Linked DNA regions of Arabidopsis thaliana. The protein of the gene in region 1 interacts with the protein of each later gene in a pairwise test. Each region holds a gene or a part of one and is shown on either strand. Other genes may lie near its edges.

Region 1 (7,463 bases):
TCACATTTTAAAGCATTCAACAACAAAATTAACCGGTTAACATCGTCTACTCTCTGCATTTTAGTAATAAAATTAGGTCATTATTTTTCGATAAAATTCATTAAATTTGGCATTTAGCGACAACAATTATTGATAGGTCCCTCGTGTGATTCCAACGTGTCAAGATATGAAAAAAAATCTAACGGTCAGGGATTTTTTGGTACTTCGCGTCGCAATGGTATCTTCTCAACGTGTTAAATAAACCCACATGTGATTTTGTTTCTCTATGCGTCATTTAACGAATCAGGACAATCCTTTCTCTATCTTTTTTTCTTTTTCTTTTCTTTATTTTGCCAAAGGACAACCCTTTTCCATTTAAATTAAAGATTACGATATATGGATAAAACATAGCAACGAAAAATTAGAGAGACCGACAGATTTTTTTTGTTAGTTTTATATTATATTTTATTTATCACACATTTTAGAAGAAATTAAACCTAGTTGTTGTGCTTTCGCATCCCAATATACATAAATCACAATCAACTGAGATTTCGTAAGAGTTGATTTAGGTTATGGTTTAATCTATAAGAAGGAGATACCATTTGCATTTCATCTTTATACTGAAATATTGGTGAAGAAAAGGAGTTTCAAATGGACTGTCATAAATTTAAATAAACCATTTAAAATATTTTAACTATCCTTCTTTAACACATTCATCCTCAAGCCTTTTTTTTCTTCTTCTTTATCACTAGTGGGATGGATCTTCAATTCCAAATTATTGGAGGAACAAGAAAGATGATAATCTAGACCACAACATAAACTATACAATAAAATGATAAATGTGTTATAGTCAATGAATAAAGAATAAGAGAGATGGTGTGATGTTTACACGTTTGGGGCCTAAACCAAAAAAAAAGGATGGGTCCAATATGCCAACTACTACTATTGTATTGAGAGTAGGAAGAGAGAGAAACCTTAATGGAGACAGAGGGACAGTGGGGTTATGTCAATTGTCATATTATTCAACCACTCACCAATCACTCACTCCAAATCTATATCTCTCTTTTTACAAATAATTATGATAGATTTGATGATAAGTTGGTTCTCAAATCCCAGCCGTTCAATTTATCCAGATATGCAAGAAAATATTAGATTTTAAGGAATCGGCCTTTCCTTATTTGGTAAGACTAAATATCTCTGTTCATTCTAGTTCCAATAGGTAAAAGAGTAACCTTTTTTCTTACATTATTAATAACTTGCATTGCACAATAACGTATTACCCTATAATTCACAATGATAATGTGTTTTGAAGTCATCTACACACTTCAAAGTTTATTACTCAATCGAAAATTGAAATATTGTCTACCACTCAAATTTCTTGAAATGGTTAAAATACTTGAACGTGTACTATATGCAAAAATCTCTGATATTTAACTGCTTTGAAATTTTTATCAGAATATTACTAGTGATGGGTCAATTTCTTTGTTAACCTTGTGCTTTATGCACTTATGTTTATAGTCTCTATTTTCTACACCTAAACAACACAATCTATTTGTAGGTTGCAACTCGGACCCAAATTTTTTGCTAAATTTTTTGTTGAAGTCTTATATTAAGCTAGGATTGTGACTTAAAATATGAATAAAACTCATATTGTTGGCTTAAAAAACGAATTAGGATGTTTGTATTTAGTAGGAACATAGTGTTATGAAACCACATCTGATAAACACATGATTTTAAAGTGTTTTAAAAACTATTCTAGCTTCAAAACCAGTTTCTCATTCATCCCGAATCTTTTTTTCCATCACATATATAGTAAATTCATGATAGAATTTTAATTTAACCTAAATATATATAGTTCATAGTTGGTTATGTTCAATCGATTAGAAGGGTTCTGTTGGATCCGAATTCGAGACCTAGGAACTACACCATGATACATTTGGGGAAAATATGATATACGTTAGTAGGTCAAACACAAATATTATCTAAGATTAGCCTCCGGCCAGAAAATTATGGACTTTGTATGTGAGGGAGATTGAGAAGCGATTGCTAAGATTAATAAATATGGGGCTTGTTGGTAGAGTAGATCTATAAAAGGGGTGATAGAGAAACGAGTGGAAACGCATGAAGCACGTTATAAAATTGAATAATTGAAGATTCAACCATATTCTTTGATAATTGGTGGGCATTTTTATTTTATTATTTGTTGTCAAATCTCTATATAAAGAAAAAAAATTGTTTTAACGTTTTCGGTTTAATGTTTGACGCATATATGTGGGAACAGTTTTGGGCGACGTGGTAGCTTCCCCTCCTCGTTTCCCCCAAAAGCCAATGCTTAAAATGACGAGAATACCCTCTCCAAAAAACCATGTGCTCCTAAGTCCTGAACTAGTTCTGATTCTTTTCTTTTAGCTATATAGGGAAGTGAGACTTGCGAGGGTGAGTATGTGACATCAAAATGGAAAACACTAAGCTACATAACCGTTGGACTAAAATGGTAATAAAAAGAAGCAGAACAGAAGTAGGTGAATAAAACTGAGAATGGAAACAAGAAACAACTGAAGAAATCGGATTTATATACGTTTTTGATCATATTCTTTGGTTCAAACTCTATAAATAAGTTTCTTGGCTTCTTTCTTATAAGAAGAATCGACTACACTTTAAGTTAAAAGACCACAAGCAATACACAGTTACAAGAAGAAAGAAAAGTAGTTCCAAGTACTCTCTCTACTTTAAGTTATAAGATCACAAGCAATACATAGTATTTAATAATTAACACAAGAGTCGAGCTTGGACTTTCTTCTTTCTTGGGCCTTCTTCTATTCCGATTCATCCCATTGACAAACCCAAAGCGTTGGATACTCAAATGCTCATTCGTAAACACGTATCCTCATTAGCTTTTTCTTTCCCATTTTGCTTGAATGTAACTAATTAATTTGGTTTTTTTTTTAATTAGTAAGTGTAGTATGTCAATATTGTACAACTAGATGATACTGATCCATTAGAGTAACACTAAAGTTACCAAAGTTTCATACAACTCCAACGACAAGCAAGGTTAGGCCTTTCCATCCAATATTATAATCTAAGAAGGAGCGATTGCCCTTGATCTGACCCAACTTGCGAGTGGAAAATCTAATGCTTATTTGTTCATTCGTTTTCTGAGATTCTATATCAAATAATAGTCAGTCATCACTAGAAAATGCTCAAACAACTAATATGATTCATACACATTTCATATCATATGCTTGGCAATATTGGACCGAACTTCATGATTTTTCTGTCCATGAATGCAAATGTGTTGTGATCTCTGAGTTACATCTCAAAATGTGAACTTGACATCATATTCTCGTTCAAAAAAGGAAGATAAGACAAAACATTTAAGAAACATTTCACAATCATAGGGGGCAAAAGATCAAAATTTAAAATTTCGGACGAGAGTGGAAACTATCAATCTTTAAGGGGATGATTTGGCAAAAGTGTTGTTTTTATTTTTCTTTTACTGTTTTCGTTTTATCATCTTTCAACGTCTTTCTCTCCCGACGGCCAAAAACCCCAATTTTGCCAAATCCAATTTTACACCCAGAAACCCTAATTTTCCTTACTTTGATTTGATTTTGTGATGGACGATTATACAAGAGAGATGATGGATCTCAAGACTTTGGTCACTCGAACCCTAGAGAAGAAAGGTGTCCTCGCTAAGATCCGGGTAAATTCCCTCTACTTCTCTACCATACATTATTCGCAGAAATTTTTGAGTGGAAATGAGAACAGAGAAGTGATTCGTTTGAAATACATACATTACTCTTTTTCTAGGGTTCCTGCTATTCAGATCGAAATGCTCGATATTGTTAATTGCCTATGCATCTGGAATCTTGCTGATAGTTTATTTGTGTTTGTAGGCTGAGCTCCGTGCAAGTGTGTTTGAAGCAATTGAAGAAGAGGATAGAGTGATAGAGAACAATGAAGGACCGCCTCCAGCTCTGTTGGGAAGCTGTAATGATCGTGCAAGGAAGCTTCATGCTTCTCCTTCAGGTTTTTTCTTCACAAGTTTTTGCTTTTATCCTTTTAAATCTTTCCTCTATGAATGGTTTGGTTCTAAATGGCATCTCTTGGTTTGAAATTTTTGTTGAAATGCAGGAAGGTTACTATCTGCGTTGATTTGTGAATACTTGGACTGGGCACAACTTAATCACACGCTCATAGTTTATCAACCTGAAAGCAATTTGGTAATCAATATAATCCCGTTTTCTTTTGCTATGTTTCATTAAGAAGATTGTTGATGAATTTTTCTCACTAATCTGGTGAACTCCTGCAAAACCTATTCAAAGCCAAAAGATTCGTGGAAGTCTGAGTTACGCGACTTTAATAGCAACAATGGTTTTGAGCTCAATAGAAATGGAGATAGTGGACCACTCCTTCTCGATGTTCTTGAAGGGTTCTTGAAGTTTGAGGTATTTCTTTCTTTTTTTCCCCTGAAGATGTTTGCAGCCAAGTGTGAAACAGAACTTTACTATCTATAACTTCTTCTCTTAGTTTACAATCTTTACAACCATACTCTAAACAAATTACAATAGTCCACCTGTAGTATGTGTGATTTATGAGTTGTAGTGTTAACAGTTCCTATTATGTAAGTGAAGATGATCAATACTTTACACCCAAGCTTTACAAACACCAACTTACATAAAATCTTGGTACTCTGTCCTCGCAACCAAGAGAAGAAGTTATAGATAGTAAAATTCAGTTTTCCAAGAAAAATAAAGTCTCTTAGTAGAGATTAGAGTTCTTCAGAGATTTGAAAAACACGTTTAGCAAATTTCCTAGCCTCAAGTTCTCTTCACATCTAAGAATCATGTTTCCATCCTATCATAGTTAAAACCATTATCATCTGTTTTTGCCGTATGCTCCTCAGATGTAGTGATCAACTTTTTTTTGTAATGAATTTTTTCTTCAGAGCATGACGCAGGGCATGGGTAGTAGTTCAAGGAGAGATTCAGAAACAGAGTCGTCATCAAGCCTTGAGTCCAGAAATCCTCCTCGCAGATCATCTGCTTCTGATAGCTTACCTCCTCAACGAAGGTACACATATCTTCAACTTCTTATTATTATGCCAAATCAAAGATCGTTACTCTTCGACATGATTGCTTTATTTACCTTCAAATAAATGGGCAGGCCGGTTTCTGCATCTCAAGCATCGGGTGAGTCATCATTTCCCTAGTTTCTTGAAGTATTGGTTGAAATACGTATGCTTCATTATTTTTTGATACCAAATAAATATGACAAGATGTTACAGATAGAAGAGCCGGGTTGTCTACATCTGGGTACAGAAAAGATGAATTCAACTGGAGACAAGGTAACCAAGATACACATGAAGAGGTAACAAGAGCTTCAGCGGCGCTGGAAAATCTACAGCTTGATAGGAAAACTCGGAACTTAACATCGTCTTGGAGGTAAGCTTTCAAGGAAGTCTCATTGAATCCCACATTGAAATGAAAACAAAGCAAGTTGTGGTAAATCTGATCCATCGGGCTTGCTTGTGTTGTAGGAATGTGAGGGATGGAACAAATGAAGAAGAAGGGAGAGATTGATTTAGGCTTTGGATAAACATTTCAGCTTCTGGATTAGTAGAGTAATGGTTTGTGTACGTGATATATGTATGTTTCTCCTTTATTTGCAACTGCGTTTTCAATTAGCCTTTTTTTTAACGCACGAACCTCTGTCTCCTTGAGAACAAAAAACATGAAACAGTAAAATGTTTTCTTTTGAGATTTGTTATGGGAAGAGAAGAGTTCAGAAAGAAGAATCAAAGAAAGCACAATGTGGTTGAATATTTTCATTCACTTGCTTCTTATTTTAGTGTCTCCAAAATTATTATGTCTCTAGTAATAAACAAGGTTTTTGAATGATGTGTTCACTGTTTGTTTTACTCGTACTTTTTTTTTGTTTTCCCTTTAGTCTTCTCTCTCTCTCTCGCTTCTTCGTTTAAAACTTTAAACTAAAGTATCGAAGAAGCCAACTCTGGATGACGCAAAAGCTTCTCTCAGAACGGCATTGTAGAATTCTCCGGTGACCAAATAATCCGATTGCATTAGTAGGGAATCTGTTATTTTGATCTGATCCGTCAAATTGGCGGTAAGAACAATGGACGATTATACAAGAGAGATGATGGATCTCAAGACCTTAGTCACTCGAACCCTAGAGAAGAAAGGTGTTCTCGCTAAGATCCGGGTATATTTGTTTTTCTCTTGCCACGATTCCTCTGGTTCTGTGACATACTTCATTCAAATTCCGTAGAGAGATTTGAGTACAGAGAAGAAGAGAAAACATACATTGCTTTTCTAGGGTTCGTGCTTCCAGATCTACTTTATGCATCTGGAATCATGTGAATTCCCAGTTTTTGTCGTACTTTGAAATTGAGTCTGTGAAAAAATTGTACCTTCTCAGCTGAATTGGATTCTTTAACATTTGGTTTGGAGATTGAAGATTTGTTTTTTTTTCTCTATATTCTTCTGCTGAAATTTTAGTTGTTTCTGTAGGCTGAACTCCGTGCAAGTGTGTTTGAGGCAATCGAAGAAGAGGATAGAGTGATAGAGAACAATGAAGGACTGCCTCCAGCTTTGTTGGGAAGCTGCAATGATCGTGCAAGGCAGCTTCATGCTTCTCCTTCAGGTCTTTCTCAATTTTTATCCTTCATATCTTCTCTTCACTTTTACCCTTCAGAGACCTTTTCTCTTTGAATGGTATGGTTCTAAATGGCATGTCTTGGTTTGGAAATGCTTTCTTGATACTTAGATATATTCGCTTGTTCGAAATGTGTCTCCTTGTTTTTTTCGGGTGAAACTTTGCTTGCTTCTATTCTTAGGCGATATGAACATTGAGATTTTGTGTAGTTGAGTAGGTCATCTTGATCACTTTATAAAATGTTAAAATGCAGGCAGGTTGCTATCTGCATTGATTTGTGAATATTTGGACTGGGCGCAATTAAATCACACGCTTAAAGTTTATCAACCAGAATGCAATTCGGTAATCAATATATTTCATTTTCTTTGAACTTCTGATATTTCTTTTAAGTACGTTGAAGATGAACTTTCTAACTGATGCTGTGATCCCTGAAAACCTATGCAAAGGCAAAAGATTCTTGGAAGTCTGAGATACGTGACTTTAGTATCAACAATGGTTATGAGCTCAACAGAAATGAAGATAGTAGACCGCTTCTTCTGGATGTTCTTGAAGGATTCTTGAAGTTCGAGGTATTTCTTCTGCTTTCTCTCTGAAGATGTTTACACATACAGTATAGCTTTTTTTTTTTTCTCTGTTTACAAGCTTTACAACCATATTTGTTACACATTACAATAGTCCAGCTATGGTACATGATTTCAGGGCGTTAATGTTTACAGTTCCTCTATTCTCTAAGTGAAGATGACCAATACCTGTTGGTTACATCGAAGCTTTACAATTACCAAATTAGTTCAAATCTTGTTACATTGTGC
Region 2 (8,988 bases), about 20 Mb from region 1:
ACATCATCGCTGTAATAATCTTAATCTTACTATATATGAAAATAAATAATTCTTTTTATAATAAAGATTAATTTAATTTCCTTAAAAATGAAAAAAATAGTAATTGCCTTTAATTTTCTTTAAAAAAACTCAGTAGTTCCTCTCTATAAAGTTAACGAAAATCTCAAACTTGGAAAATCTCCCACCCTTCTTTTTCTTCGCCTTCTCAAATTGGATCGAAAGTTTTAAACTTGGAGCTGGGTTTTTGATTCGCATGCGAAATTTCCTCAATTTCGTTTGTTGGTGCTTTCAATTTCACTTCTTCGCTAGCATTTTCTCTCACTGTGTTCGCCGCCGATAGCTGCCCAAGTTGTGTCTGTTCTTCTTCCCCGGTGAATTTTCAGTGGATAAAGCTTTTTCTCCGGTAAAGCATTTTACTTCTCTTAATTGGATTCGTTAACTCTCGCTCTCGAGTTTGCTTTGTTGCTTTCTACTGCTTTAAATTGAACCCGAAACGTCTATTCTTAGTGACCGGAACAAAATTGATCTTTCATTAAGTTCAATTCTTCGTTTTTTAGTCACTTTTGGGTTTAGTATAAAATTGATTCTGATGTTTTATTCTCTCTTATTTGTTCTTAGGTGCCTAAGAGAAGACTTTCGAGGGAAAGATATTGGCTTTTGTTTTGTGTTCTGAGAGGGATACGTGTTGTGTTGGTTTTTCACTCAAGAGATGGTTCTACATGTTATGTTGGGTGAAGTTGTAACAAAGTTTTTGAATATGAACAATGGAGTTGGGGAAGGTGGAAGTCAGCAAAGAGAATTACATGGTAAGAGAAAGCTTTTCCGAGGCAATGATTTCGCTTTTTCCATAGCGAGAATGGCAGTGGCTCAGATATGCGAGAGTGTTGAGGTTAACCCGTATCAGGAATCACAGACACGTGAGGGTGTGAGGTTTAGTTCTTTTCAAGAATCTGCTCTTGATACACTAACTGATGTTGCGGTTCAGTATATTCAGAGCATTGGGAAGACTGCTCATTTGTATGCTAACTTAGCCGGTAGAGTAGATGGTAATTCTCTGGACATTCTTCAAGCATTAGAGGATTTGGGATCTGGTTTGGGTTTTGCTGGTGTTTCTGATACTGACCATTGTCTTGCTGATTCCGGTGTAGTCAAGGATATCATTCGTTATACTGGAGAAGCAGAGGAGATACCGTTTGTTTACTCTCTTCCTCGTTTCCCATTTAGTAAAGAGAAAAAACCTGCTCCTAGTTTCTCTGAGGTTGGAGCAGAACCTCCAGATGAACACATTCCTGTTTGGCTTCCTGCATTTCCCGAAACCGAATTGTGTGATCGATCAGAGGAAACTAATGCAGCCACAATCGAAGGAGAAATTCCTAGTAAAGAAAATGGTTCATCTTTACCGAGTATGCAACTTTCTTTCGATGGTGGTGGTAGGTTAGAAATACATAAATCTTCAAAGGATGTTGGAGAATCAACAGAAGCAGTAGTCGAAGGTAACCTGTTTCTAACTGCGCCTCTTCGATTTGTGGAGAAAAATGTGTCACCTGTGGTCCGCCCTTTGGAGCTTTCAAATGAAGTTGTTAGGACCAACCACGTTCCTGATAAGCATGTGAGGAACAACCATCACATCCCAATTCTTGAGGCATCTGCTCCATCGGATAAAATCAACAACAAGAACTGGTTAGCTATATCAAAGGATGTAGAGAAGGTAGATGTTGCAAGAAAAGAACTAACTTTGGTACGTTTCAAGATAGGGACTACAAAAAGATCTATGTGTTTGGCAAAAAATCGGAGCTTCCAGGAAGAGGGTTGGTTTCAAGAAGGTGAAGACAAGAGGGAGAAGACGTCAGAAATCAAAGAAAAGCGTGAAAGAATTGACTCGCAATTGTCAACTCAGATGTAAAATAGGTATTATGTCATTTTAGAATTTGCAGACAAAATAGCTTTGCATCCTGAGTTTAGTGATCGTTTGCAACTGGAATACGTTACTTTTTAGGGTAAGAAATGTTTACTAATTCAAAACGATGGAGAAATAGATGGTTGTTTGGCATTTAACTTGATTTGCAGTGAAATATTAGTTTGACAGACCAATAAATATGCTCTTTGCACTTTTTGGTATTATCTATGAACTTAAATACTGTTATTTATTAATTAGACCTGTATATATATGCTGGTTACAACAAACAAGTGGGAAGAGAACAGAACAGGCAAGAGGGCTGAAAACCCAGAGACTAAAGGTTCTCTTCCTCTCTAAGATAACTTCATTTACAAATCTAAGTGATAACTGATAACCTTAAAAAAATTAGCAGAAGCAAACTTCATTAACCAAGTCTCTGAAAATCATTCTCTCAATATCTAACACAATTCCTGGAGTCTCTCCTTCAAACTCCTTCAAGTTCATGCTTTGACTTTGCAGGTCCTCCCATATGATGTCTTCCTCGTCGTCCTCCAAGATACAGTTTGAGTTGTTTTGTTGTAACCTATCAATCTCTGAACACAGAGTCTGCAGAAGTTGCTCCTCTTTTGATATTTTCTCCAATTTTTTAAGTGGATTTGCGATTAAACGTGGTTTGATGCAGCCTTCTGCAGTGAACTTCCGAGCTAAAATCTCGTTAACGGTGTCGAAGACGAGTTTTCTCCTGATTGTCTCTGTTGGGTTTGTCTGCTGTTGTCTGAATCCTCTACCTCTGTGTTTGTTGTCCGGTAGAGTCACATTACTGGCCTTGTTCTGTTCCAGGATAAAGAACAGTCCAGGGTTGATCGGGAGGCGCGTTTGGTGCAGCTGAAAGCTTATCATGCTGTATTCAAGATCTCTTAGAATCCCTGAGGCCAACAATATCTCTAAGATGTACTTGTGGTTGCCGCTTTTGAAGTCTGCACCTTCTTCAGGTGAGCATTCAAAATGATCAGAACTTGGCTTCATTGGTCCCCGGTTACTCTGAGGAAATGGTACGGATCTGCAGAAGCTGGTAGGCTTGTTTATCCACTCAGATTCTTCAGAACGTAAGGCATCCTCCTCTGTGGCAAGAGAACAAAAACACGGTGAGAACTTTATACTAACCAAAACCTTGTGAATACATGTAGTTAATAAGCATCGTGAACACGTAATTGTTAGTATATATGAATGAGTCACTAATCAGTCTGAATGTTCTTTTCTAAGTGCCTCACCTTTAAAACTAAGGGATATCTTCCTCACAGGGGACGGTGAATCCTCTTCGTCGAAGACTGCATCAAGAACTGAAACAGGGCTCGGTTGTTCAACGGTAACTTTCAGAGGTTTTAGGGACGGTCTGTCTTGTTTGATTCCAAAGTCTGGACTCTACATTGGTAGACAGAAGAGATTCAGTTTATTGAGTACTAATGAATTAACTTGAGAAGTGAAGATACGTGAGATAGAGATCTATTTAGTACCCTTTGTTTGGGGGTGTGCTGCTCTGGGAAGTCACAGTTCCTCTCCAGCCTATGTCTGCTTGTAACCTCGATGTCAACATTCGATCCCAAGCTTATGTTGCTGTCAGACCTTAGACTCCTCAAGTCGCTCCTTGCATCGCTTAATCGGTCATCAGGTTGCTGAAGAGTACTGTGAGGTTTTATCATCTGTTTTCTTCTCGGAGAGGCTACCTCTGTTTGCTGCCTTCCGAGTTGCCTTTTGCCTGGCTCTGATTTTGGAGTTGTGGGTCGAGTCTGTTTCTCGAACCCGAGCTTTTTTGGCTGTGTTCTTGGGCTGACACTGTGCTGTTGGCTCCTACCTGACTTGGTCATGGAACCAGCATCTGCAGCCAAAGCTTGCCTCGACCGTACTGTTTTTGGGCTATTGCTCTTCGTGGAATCGAGTTGGCCCTTGTAAAGGCCTGGCCTTGGGGTTAAATCCATTGCGTTCTGCTTCCCTGAGGTGACTTTCCGGGTTTGTCTAGAGTTTCCAACCTTGACATTTGGTAGGGTGACATTCTGTGGCAGCGGAGAGGTGGAAACTGGAGCTGCAGATTTCATAACAACGATCGATGAAGATTTGAAGTTCCTGGCTGGACTTGTTGCAGCTGAAACTGGCTTGTGAGTTCTCTGCATAAGAGTGGTTGTACTCAGAGTACCGTCGTCCCTGCTTTCATCTATCAGCTGCTGCGTTTTCTCCATAGCCTCAAGTATTTGCTTAAGAGCTCTGAGATCTTTTCCCGACTTTTTGAACTCCAACTGCGTAAGCCGCTTCTGAATTTCACCATATACCGTCAGTGCAGAGTCTCCTGCTTTCATTTGCTTCCATGGAGCTGGTTCCATTGGAAACTTAGAAGCAGCTGAAGCAGGTATCCTCTTGATCGAATCTACGCTTCTAGATCTCTGTAGAGCTGTTGGTTCCACTCGGGACATTGGCCTTGGAGAGTCACAAAACCGGTTCTCTCTTCTCTGTTCAGTATCAGAATTGTCTGCAATGACTTCAAGACCCATCAATTTGGCAACAACACTAGAACTCGATCTCCTGTGAGTCATTGTTGCGGGTTCCTCTGGACAACTCGATCTCGCAGCATCTGCTCTCGGACTCCTAAAGGAATTGGATCTACTATCCAACGACAACCTCGGTGTCTCTTTCAACTTTGAACCCACCCTGAATCCGTTGTTTCTCATCTCCCTCTCATCATAAGAAAGCCGGTGACTTTCCTTAAACTTCATAGCCGCTCCTCTTCCTTCATTCCACTCATTAGAACTCCGACATGGTGAACGCAATGATGATTCTTTGAGAAGCAACATGCTACTTCGAGCTGAAATGGGCTGCTGCTGCTGAGTGAAGGATGCTTCTTCACCTCTAGTTCTAATTTCTCTATTAATAGAGCCTTTGACAAGCTCCTTTAGATCATACGGCATCATCAAGCCACCATTGGGCTGTTCTCTGATCAGATTCTCACCAGGCTGGTCAAATTGAGAAGCTGTGGTACTGACTTCTGCAGACGAGAAGCTAGAGGAGCGTGGAGAAGACGAAAATGAAGGTCTTGAAGATGATTCAAAAGAGACTCTATGCTTCTCTTTTGCTGCAGACTTCTTCTTTTTGGTACTACTCCTCTCCTGCAATCCCATAAAAGTCTCTGTTTCTTTCAGTTTGTGTTTCCTGAATTCTCATTCTTTAGAGACGAGTAAATAAACTGAGTTCAGATTCTTACCGTTTCTTTATCACTTTCCATGTTGGTTTCACCGACGCTACCTCTTCTTTCCCCTGCAAAAGTTAACCCCTTGTTCTTAGCTATAAGCCTATAACCATATTTTTGGTTCTAGTGAAACTACTCTGTTTCTTTGTGGTCCTAAACACTCAACTGAGATTTAGAAGAGAGAGAGAGTTTAAGTTACCTGGAGGCAAAGACTTCTCTGCGCCGCCGGAGACGGTGACTGGTGTCGCGGGACAATGTTGCCGGTAAAACACTTGAAAGATCCCATTCATGCATCCAAACTGTTTATTCAGATTTGGATTCTCATCTGACAAGTTATATAGAAGTTTTGCAGACATATCTTCTTCCTCTACTTAACTCTTATCTCAAAAACAAGATAACTAAAAAAACTTTCACAAACTCAAGTTTCTCTTCATATATATACTCTGTTTTTTGGAGTTACCAGTTTCTTCGTCTTTTTACTCTGCTCAGGGGTTAAAGATGTTTTTCTTGTGTTTCAGAGGAAGAAGAAAAGAAGAAATGGACAAGAAGAAGCCAACATTAACGACAAATTATAGCTTCTTGTGAAGTTACGAGCAGACAACAGATTAGGTTCCTCCGTGTTTGGCTTGGAGGCTACCTTGAAGAAGAAAGAAGAGAAGGGGGAAAAAAAAAAAGTTTTTTTTTTGTTTTTGGTCTTTGAGAGAGAGAGGTTTCTATCTTTAAAGGCAAAGATACAACTGTCAAAGGAGGCTTTGAAGTTTGAAGCATATATAATGTAATGCATGTACATGTGTTAACATATAAAGTTTATACATGTATGAGATTTTATGTATTTTAGTATTATATACACTAGTAATCTTATATATTCTTTAATTATGTCAGAGCTCTGAAAAATTCTGCTCGCCAAATAATGAGGAATCTGTTTCATCTCCTAAGATGATAGTTACGCACATGACAGCACAAGGCAACTTATTTAGAGAAAACAAAATTAAATGCTTTTTGAAATTCGGAAAAAATTGGTTATATTTTGGATCTATTATAAGAAATGTTAGGCATGTTTATCTATTCATTGATTTATCTCAAATTGTCAATGAATGAGAAATTGATACATTTTATAATACATATTTTTTTTCTCTCCAAATATGACTCTCTCTTTTTTTCTCTTAGAAGTTTTATCTATTTTAGCAAAAAAAAAAATATTTATCTATGAGTTTTGATAATTAGCTAAGTTAGCCTTACACATCCATGTGAACAAAATAATGTTGGTGGGTCTTTATAAGTCTTGGTGCCTCTTTTACATGTGCATGTGGAGTTTGTCAGGAACACACAGCATTTGATAATACATATATTTATCTTAAAGGATAATAAGAGATAATAAATAAAATTTGTATTCTAATGGCAACATAAAATCAAAATAAATTATTAGGGGGGAAAGTGGATTGGTGAACTGGAAGAAAGCTTGCATGGTCTGAGATTGGTGGGTCTTTCAAACTAGGATATTATTATTTTAAATTTGTCAATATTATTTAGTTATTGAAAATAATTAATTTTGGGTACTTTGATTCATAGACTTCAATAGTTTAGCGAGAGACTGATGCATAATAATGCATGCATATGCAAATGCAAGTTAAACAGTTAAAGCAAAATATGGATTCAAGTTTCTGCATATACGAAGGACCACATTTTTGTGAATATCCACAAACACTAAATATGGTTTGTCATAAATTATAGTTTATTAAAGAGTGGCTATTAAAAAACCACATTCAAAGTTTTGGATAATGTGTCGTGTATTAATGTGTGTTTGTAACTATGTCCACTAGGTGAAGATGAATTATAGGTTATTCAACATTATATTAAGTAAGAATCGATTCTAGATGTCGACACAGCTTATATAGACTACATCTTCTACTTTATATATACATACATGAATTTGGTATTGGAAACTGTATCCGATCTCATATTAAAAAATAAGCCAACTTCATTTGTTTGATTCTTTCGATTAAACACCAATAAATATCATGAAAGGAACCTATTTCTATAATTAGATGGCTACTAAGACATTATTGTGCAAGGTTCTTTTTACTCATACATCTCTTTCCTGTTGTTAAGAGTATGCGTCAAATCAATATAACAATAATGAATTTATAGCCAGGCATGCATAATTACTTTAACCAGTTAAAGATTGTGATATTTCAGCGCTCTTAGATCCCTAATCGAATAGTAGAGTGATTTATTTAGTGGATGATGTTTTAAGTGTTGTGGACAAAACCACAAGTTGGTTATCAAACTGAAGAAACGATTAGATCAAAAAGTTCATTACTTTCTGATTATTAAAAACAATTAGTCGGTTGCTTAATGTATTAAATAAAGTGCTTAAGATGATGTAATAACTTTTTGCATGTGAATCATTCAACATTAAGGAATCTGGCATATAAAATGAGGAAGAAAATTATTATATATATGGAATAAAGTCGTCGTCGTCTTTTAGTATTTTGTCTTGGTTGATTTGAGGGTTTATGTCCTTAGATGTACTAATCACAAAAAGCTTGTGGGCATATCACGTGCTTTGTTCCACAATGTGCTGTGAACCAGGTGGGGTTTGTGACTTCTTATCTATTTATTTTTTCATAACAAGTATATTGTTTGCTATTCATATAAAAAAACAAAATTAATTGATTTGACCTTGGAAGTACCGAGGAATATACTATTACACATGGGTATTAGGTTTTGCTTTCAAATATTGTACCATAATCAATTTCAAGCGCGTTACCTTTATGTATGATTTGATGGTTTGAATTCTTGGGTCGTTTTTCAATTTTATGCACTAATAACAATTTGTGAGTAACAACAGATTATAGCTAGCATAACCTTATTTAAGCTTACTGCAAATGTATTATGTAAACTTCATGCAATCTCTTGGTTGCTTGTGTTTAAACAATTTTGTTATCATTACCAAAGATTAACTAATCACTGTTTTAGAAACGAGAGTATGTGTGGGTACATAGTTAGAGATGAGCCACCATTTTTGGGGAAAAACTTTTGAGTGTCAAGTTGATAAACACATATATGATTATTACTAATTGACACTCATTTCTGCGAATAAATCTTATAACGATTCTTGGATGATATTGTGTATATAGATGGTTTCATGATTGCATCAAAGTAATAAACAGCGTGGTTAAAATGTTAAACTGTGAAATGAATGATAGATTAAAGAGATATACACTTCGAAAGACTATAAATAGCATGTAACCTTCAGAATAAACTGGTTGACCAGTTATATGACCTTTTTTCTTAGATAAAGATATGTGTAGATGAAATGCACCAAACATACTTCACCCGTTAAGATGAGATTAATCTATAATCTCGTAATCAAAGAAAAATAAAGGACAAAATTAAGAGGAAAAATGGGAAAAGAATAGACTAGTGAAAAAGAAAAGACAAAGGGAACAAAAACAAAGATAGAAAAGGGAACCAAATCACATGAAGCAATTGGGTATGTGACTTGAGTGTTAGGGTTGATAGGGAACCAACTAAGCAAAATGCATTTTAAATGCTAATGAGAATTTACTAAAATCAATCAAAAGTTAAGTGTGTATACTTTTACGTTAAGTTTCAAAGTTCAAGTTATCTAGTTCAATTATTGGCACATGATCCCACTTATCACCCACCCATCCAACATTTGTTTAATTTCACCATTAATTTCTGTGGGGCTTCTCTTCTTTGATTTTGACTGCCAGCATTACATACACATCTTTGCAATTTTGCATAATTATGCTTTTACATACACATATCATTGTATAAAAATTTATAATAGTTTTAATAACAAACATTTGATAGATATAAGAGCATTCAA

Evidence for each region. Proteins that work in one complex are often made in the same cells at the same time.
Region 2: the proteins of TON1A (region 1) and LNG2 interact in a two-hybrid assay, tested with the Arabidopsis thaliana proteins (one study listed by BioGRID).

What each region holds. Positions count from the first base shown.
Region 1 is NC_003074.8:20,378,017-20,385,479, forward strand, and holds TON1A (tonneau family protein), read left to right. Parts: upstream 1-3,443; 5' UTR 3,444-3,595; coding exon 3,596-3,682; intron 3,683-3,875; coding exon 3,876-4,008; intron 4,009-4,113; coding exon 4,114-4,202; intron 4,203-4,304; coding exon 4,305-4,427; intron 4,428-4,927; coding exon 4,928-5,052; intron 5,053-5,145; coding exon 5,146-5,171; intron 5,172-5,266; coding exon 5,267-5,423; intron 5,424-5,518; coding exon 5,519-5,561; 3' UTR 5,562-5,862; downstream 5,863-7,463. Other genes in the region: TON1B (tonneau 1b (TON1b)), read left to right, coding at 6,115-6,201, 6,510-6,642, 6,908-6,996, 7,101-7,223. UniProt on the Arabidopsis thaliana protein: Involved in the control of the dynamic organization of the cortical cytoskeleton. May play a role in the organization of microtubule arrays at the centrosome through interaction with centrin 1 (CEN1).
Region 2 is NC_003074.8:393,906-402,893, forward strand, and holds LNG2 (longifolia2), read right to left. Parts: upstream 6,056-8,988; 5' UTR 5,489-6,055; coding exon 5,332-5,488; intron 5,201-5,331; coding exon 5,148-5,200; intron 5,053-5,147; coding exon 3,412-5,052; coding exon of another isoform or gene 3,358-3,411; exon of another isoform or gene 3,320-3,357; coding exon 3,169-3,319; coding exon of another isoform or gene 3,137-3,168; exon of another isoform or gene 3,019-3,136; coding exon 2,303-3,018; 3' UTR 2,107-2,302; downstream 1-2,106. Other genes in the region: AT3G02160 (Bromodomain transcription factor), read left to right, coding at 710-1,903. UniProt on the Arabidopsis thaliana protein: In association with LNG1, regulates leaf morphology by promoting longitudinal polar cell elongation independently of ROT3. Associates with microtubules and recruits TON1A and TON1B to the cytoskeleton through its C-terminus.